Linked DNA regions of Xenopus tropicalis. The protein of the gene in region 1 purifies or fractionates together with the protein of each later gene. This does not show direct contact. Links are inferred from orthologs where the notes say so. Each region holds a gene or a part of one and is shown on either strand. Other genes may lie near its edges.

The links. The genes of interacting proteins can lie anywhere in the genome.
Region 2: the proteins of kiaa0556 (region 1) and cilk1 purify together in Homo sapiens (affinity purification with mass spectrometry; 3 studies listed by BioGRID and IntAct, with this or other methods). This does not show direct contact. The link is inferred for Xenopus tropicalis from reciprocal best matches to the Homo sapiens genes KATNIP and CILK1.

Annotation. Positions count from the first base shown.
Region 1 is NC_030685.2:40,175,361-40,178,932, reverse strand, and holds part of kiaa0556 (protein KIAA0556 homolog), read left to right. Parts: intron 1-3,216; coding exon 3,217-3,374; intron 3,375-3,572. UniProt on the Homo sapiens protein: May influence the stability of microtubules (MT), possibly through interaction with the MT-severing katanin complex.
Region 2 is NC_030681.2:96,867,735-96,871,306, forward strand, and holds part of cilk1 (serine/threonine-protein kinase ICK), read left to right. Parts: intron 1-949; coding exon 950-1,095; intron 1,096-1,489; coding exon 1,490-1,621; intron 1,622-1,972; coding exon 1,973-2,086; intron 2,087-3,498; coding exon 3,499-3,572.

The DNA.
Region 1 (3,572 bases):
CAAAAATTTGCCGAAAAAGTCACCCTCGGCTTATACTTGAGTTGGGTGCCATGGGTCCCTCCAGACCAGCACCCTCTGTCCTTTGTGTGCAAATTAGGCCACCCACAACCAGACCCTCCAGTGCCCTGGCCTGCTCCCAAATTCATCTTCATCTACCATCCTCACCTGTCCCATTCTGCACTAGACATTGCACTTTATATTCTATATAAACTATATATAGTTTTGAAGGATTTTAATTCTTTGTGTTTAAATAAATATTTAAAAACATATACCCCACTCATTTAATGTCATTTTATTGGTATTTATTTTGATTATTGAAACTTAGCAGTAGCTGCTGCATTTCCCACCCTAGGCTTATACTCGAGTCAATAAGTTTTTCTAGTTTTTTAGGTAAAATTAGGTACCTTGGCTTATATTCGGATCGGCTTATACTCGAGTATATACAGTAATTATCTCTTTCAATTTTATTGAAGCCTTAATTTATGCTAAATTGTTGGAATTAAGAATTAAACAACTCTAGTCCACACCGTCATTTCAACAATCAAATTAAAGTCCATACCAATTACATGAATTTCAGCTTTGTCTCGTAACTAACATTCCTTTAGGTCATCTTTTCTCCATTTTTTTTTACTTTTTTTCCTTAAAGTTAGATTGCCCTAATTATTTCATTTCCTGTTTGGCTGTTACCCCTCTCTTGCCCTTCTATTATTTCTTTTCACATCTTCCTTTCTTCCGTAAGCTGTTCATATAGTTAAAGGTCTGTGTACCACATATGTGGCAACTGTCAACACTATGAAACCAGTCTTACAGATCTGATTGCTGTCATACAACTGCACGACAAAATTTTAGATTAAGCTGGAACTTTTATACCAGTGAGTGAAAAGCAAATTGCTTGATGATGCCTGCATATAATAGTTGCACACATACAAAAGGATGGCTAATTGAAGAGGACATATATTTGGCAAGTGGAAGCTCACTTAGAGCAGCCCTGGGGTTTATATAAAAGAAAACTCTGCTGTTGTTGGTGAGCTTTGGTTCAGCAACAGCTCAGTCTGTATGATGTAACTAAGCACCAGTAAAATGCACTCTTCATTTAAACAAAAAAAACAAAAATAAACGCTAGTATATGAAAGCTCATTAGAGAGTACTTCTTTTTTTTTGCTTTGATCAATGCACTCTGGGTTAGTGTATTGTGACACTTGAACCTACAGGGGGATCTGCTTCAGTGTCTTAGGGCCGCTTCCCACAGTCTTTTAGGGTAAACATAGCAGTCACGGAGGTTGCTCTCTTACAGGCAAGTGCCAGCAGTTTATTTTGTTACAAAACTTCAGTAACAAACACAAAATAAGAAACAAGACAATAAACCATTGCACCAGAGAGCTGGCTAAACACAGTTGGCAGCCTAACTACAGTTGGGTGGCTTTTCCCACTCCAACTTAACAAAAGAAAACAAAATCAGAAATCATCAGTACCTTTCCCATGCAGCGCAGCTCCTGCTACCTGTGTAGTGGGAAAGAGACTCCCCCTCCCCACACTGGAGTCTTTTTAAAAGGCTCTCAGCTGCAGCAATCACCTTGCTGCTAAGGTCTGTATTAAAGGTTTGTGATTAATTATTCCATGTTCCAGGGTACCCACTATGCAAAACCCTGGGAGAAACATATCGTCCATCAACAACTAACCCAGCCATTTTATTACAGTATCCAAAGTCCAAGAGGATCTTGGCATCTTCTTCAGGATAATTAAATAAATTACTATATTACTATGATACAAAATGCTAATATCTGTATAGTGTCATTGTCACTTTTTTTTTTTTTTTTTACTCTTGCTCATCGCCTAGAACTTTAGGTGTTGCACTTGGATATTATAGGGGATATTTATCAAAGGTAGAAAGTACAATTCGCTAGAGGATATATAAATGTATGGGAAACAGTGGATTATCAATTAGATTTGAAATGTCACCAACAAGTTAGAAAAGCAAAGATCTGATTGGTTGCTATGGGCAACATCACTGGTAATGTTGGCTTACACACTATAATAAATATGCCCCAAGATGTAGAATTTCTGGAAATGGAGATTGAGAACTTTGGACTAGTTATTTGAAGTACAAAAGAAGAAAATTCTGGTAGAGACAGATTGTCAGAAAATGTGTGGATTATCCTCAGATTTGTTTTTGGAGGTTAAAAATATCTAAAACCTTATTAAGTGGCAGTCCCATACCTGCTGCAATTGGTTCCTTGTTTTTTTTTATTTAGAAATCTCTGTGTTCAAGAGTGACCATGGGATTGCTAGTGCTTGTATTTAACTCAAAACTTTTAGCATAAGAGAGTGTGTTTTTTTCACTACTCTAGTGAATCTTGCATAATTAGGACATCTCTGAAATAGAAATATACAAAGGAATTTTATTTAAAACCTTAAAGAAATTTTCAGTAGTCACTCAAAAGACTTTTTTCCGCAAATATTAAATCATTTGCTGCAATACTTTAAAAAACAGTTTATTAGCTCCTTCCTATGATCAATAGTGTCTAGTATGGCGAATTTAGAATTATTCAGTAGCTTACAAGTTGTACAGTGTTTTTTTTACTTTTTGTATATATATAAGATATTCTTTTTTTTTGTAGTTTTTGCAGTTTTTAGCTAAAATGTGTTGTCAAATTCCTACAATTATCATATGTGCCCTGACAACTGGTTGCTCAGAGATAAATTGTATTTTGATCTTGGCTATTAAAGCAAGTCCCTTTTAACTATTAAATATATTTATAGTATTGCAGGTTACATGTCTATCTTTGGCTAATTCACGTGAATTTTTGACTAATTTGGCCATACAGGTGGTGGGCCCAATTGGACTGTTTTGTCCAGTTGTTTTACCCCCCCCCCCCACCGACCAGAGATTGCATAAATAACATAGGTTATGGTTAAAACCTGTGCAAAATGGTTTGGAGATGACTTAGCATCAACAGCCATATGCTGCCCTTAACTGATGCCATTTTACAGTCTTGCCAAGTAAAAAATCCTTATCCAACTCCTGTCATAGTTTTTGCTGTATACAAGGGGGAGCAAGTTGCTAACTTTGCCAAGAGTAGCCAGGTTGGCAGCCTTAATATGGACAAGGTAAGAAATCATATATGTTTTCTTGAAATAGATCATTCATATTGGGCATTGTTCCATCCACAAGTGAACTGTAGTAGTAAACAATGATTTTTCTTTATCCAATTATAGGGTAAGATTGTACATCTTACACTAGATGGACATACTATTTCTCCGCCAGAAGGGTTTCTTATCCGTAAAGGACCTGGCAACTGCCATTTTGACTTTGCTCAAGAGATTCTGTTTGTTGACTACATACATGAGAAACAAATAACAGACACACAATTAAGGTAACAGTATAAATTATCATTGTTTTCTTATGGACTCTATATTAGTGTGTGGAATGAGTGTGCCTCATTAAAGGAATACTGTCATGGGAAAACATGTGTTTCTCAAAAGGCATCAGTTAATATAGCTTTTCCAGCACAATCCTGCATTGAAATCCATTTTTCAAGCCAAACAGATTTTTTTTTTATATTTAATTTTGA
Region 2 (3,572 bases), on another chromosome or scaffold:
TTAAAAGACACAGCAAGGAGCTAGCTGTCCTAATACTGCTTACGTTCAGCCTAGTATAGGAAATTGTATTTGAGATATATGTATGGACCTGTTTAAGCAGAATGCTTGGGACCTGGAGTTTTCCAGATAGGGTTTCTATTCATAATTAACTACTAAAAAAAACACTGAAATTGAAATAAACCCAGCAGAATAGTTTTGCCTCCAATATGGATTAATTAATATAGATTAGTTGGGATCAAATACAAGGTACTTTTTTTTTATGGCAAAGAAAAGTTGTGTTTTTAAAATTTTGGATTATTTAATTAAAATGGAGTCTCTGGGAGTTGGACTCAGAGCTCTCTGGATAACAGGTTTCCAGTGATAAGGAATACATTCTGTGTGTGGAAGGATTCTGTTCTCAAGATAGCCTAGTTACATCAATTATAGCCTTGAAGACAAAACCACCTATTTGGCAAAGACCTTGTTTTCTGTGCTGTGAACAGATTTTTCTATGGGCGTATACTGGTAAACTGGTAACACCTATGCTCATAACGTGTCTTATGACATATGCTACTGTTACAAAGTCTGTATAAACCCTGGGCTGTTTTTGTTCTGTAGTTCTTTTGCTCAGAACCGATGTATGAGTCTAAAAAATCTTACCTAATTATTGCAATGAGATGCTCTGCCATCTGTTGTAAAGGCTCCTCTAACATAATTTTATTGCATAACCTCATACTTTTTCCAGATATGAATGTCTCCATCGGTGGAAAAGAGAATGAATGCTTAATCCCTTTGCACTCTCTGTAAATGTGGTGTAAAATCTCACATGCATGCAGTAATTGCTAGCTGTAATATTGTGGGACAAACCAATGAAGAGAACCCTGTTTATGTTATATGTTAATTTATTTTTCATTTAACTTGTGATTTTGCTTAAAAAGTTAACAGAAACTCATGTTTTGTCTTTGAGCAGCTTTAAAAGTATAGTGGATTTAAAGAATGCAGACAATGGTTCTGCTGGGTCAGAACTCAACTCGTTCGCTCAGCAAGATTCTGCTACTTCCAGAAGAGCCTCGGCAGCAAAACAACATTACTTAAAGCACTCCCGCTATTTGCCTGGTCAGTGTATAATCATCTTTACCATATTTTATAAAATTGTTTAAAATATTAAATAAGGCAGTGTGGTTTTTTTTTTAAGTTTGCTTTCCTTGTCCAGTCTGTTCTATTAGTAGGGAGCAGGCAAGTGCTGAACGCAGGTGAATAGGAACTAGATGAGTCTGAACGCAGAAAATAATGTCCATCTGTAAAAGGTCTAAATAACAAAGGTTCTTATCAATTTTCACAGAAAACAAACCAGCAGTTTACTGCCCTTTATGTTATGCTTTCTAGGTTTTCTGTCTGTGTCTGTTCATGTTGATGTTTATTCATGTTTATTCTTGATCTACAAAAGACAAATCCAGTGAAAAGGTTACTGCTGGTTTCTGGTGACAATTGGTGTCCCTTGAATTTGCAGGTCTTACTATCAACAACAGTGCAGGCAAATCCTCAAGCAGTGATTCTACAAATGTTTCAAATCCGTGGCCAATTCCTCTTCAGCCCATTAAGCCACTGGGCTTGGCATCTGAGACCAATAGCAGGCTTTCAGGTAGGGGTGAAATAGTACACTTTTAACGTTTTTACGAACACTAAACAGCTTCTTAGTAAATGTTAAACACTTTTGTGTTTATCTTGTATGTACCACAAAATTATTCATTTTGTCAGTACAACATCAAATATAGATTCTTTTTTTTTTTTTTTTTTTTTTATGTATTGTGCAATTGTGTTGTGTGAATCTATACATGAAATGTATTATCAACAATTTCTCACATGGCAGAAAAAAAACCCAACCAATGCTATAATACAGCAATTATAGGCATAATTAAACTATACGTCTCCAGTATGTTGTGTGCTTTTGTGTAACAGGTTTTATGTTTTCTTTTTTTTTTTTGTCTTCAAGGTCAGAAAGGAAGCAGTGACCCAGTTTCTAGTTATCTGCCAGCCTTTTTGAAAAAAGATATTGGCTATATTGGGCAGAAGGTGCAGTTAGCTCCACTTACAGATCCAACTCCCAGTGAGTAAACAGAAGTATATAAAGACACCACTGCAAAAATCTGAACTTATCTTTCTTTTCTGGTGCCTACCACATGCACGCACGCAATTCAAAAATAACTACCTGGTTTGGGGGCACTGAGAGCAACATCCACTGGGGAGCAACATGTTGCTGATAAGCCACTGGTTGGGGATCACTGATGTAGAGAGCGATATTCTGAGACAATTTGCAATTGGTCTTCATTTTTTATTTGTAGTTTTTTAATTATTTTTCCAACAGCTCTCCAGGTTGAAATTTTAGCTGTTATCTGGTTGCTAGCAAGTCCCTGGTTGCTAAGCTAATTGGGACCCTAAGGTAGAGTTGCAATGAGAGACAGGAATATGAATAGTAGAGGGGCTGAACAGAAAGATAAGTAATATAAGGTAACAATAACAATAAAATTGCAGCCTCACAGAGCAATAGTTTTTGGCTGCTTGGGTCATTGACCCCCATTTGAAAGCTGCAAAGAGTCAGAAGAAGACAAATAATTCAAAAACTGTACAAAATAAATAATGAAGTCCAAATGAAAAGTTGCTTAAAACTGGCCATTCTATATACGAAAAGTTAACTTAAAGGTGAACCACCCTTTAATCACTTGGGTTTCTTTCTCCTCCTCTAACCCACTCAGCCCCCCTCCCTTGGGAATTTACTTTGGCTGTTGGCTACTGGGCATGCTCACTTCCTAGCTAAAACAGTCAATCTCAGCTCAGATTACCAAACATTATTCTCTTCACTCTAGCCACCAGTGAAGAGATGGCATTGCTGGTTACCATAGAAAAACTATGCTTTAACTGTGCTCTTTTTTTGGTGGGGGGGATACATAGAGTATAAATGATACTGTTTGGGTGGCGCAGATGTGCCTGACTTATATACATGGTAGAAAAATTTAGAATTTACCTGAACTTTAAAAGCAGCTCAAACCACACTAAGATCTGCTGAACTTTGAAGGTATGGATTATTACTGTTACAGTGCTGTTGAACTACTCTGTGCCAGTACCTTAAGTTCATTATATAAAATGCAGCATTTCCTGCACTATTCATTATAGATTTTAGTTCCCCTTTAACTGTTCTTTCAGCAAGTAAGTGTTTATTGCAAACTAATTTACACAGCACTTCACTTTCCTTTTTTTTCTTCACTAATACATACAAACATGTAGCTGTATTCCAAGGGGTGCCACAACATCAAAATGTTCTAAGGGGCCTCCTTTCTCAAACATATTGTAATGTTATTGTGAATTATTTTTGCATTGGGTGTTAGTGTGCCTTTTTGTAGCTATATGAAATAGAGCCAATCTTTGTAAATCCCATTGCAAGAGAGTGTTAAATGTGAGCACTCACAGATGCATGTATTTTTCAGTACACTAATGTATGCATCCTGTCATCTTCCTGTCTAGATTATGGATCCCTGAGGTCTGTTGGATCATTTCTTGGTCCTCCTTCTTTTCGTTCACCTTCCAAAGGCACACAG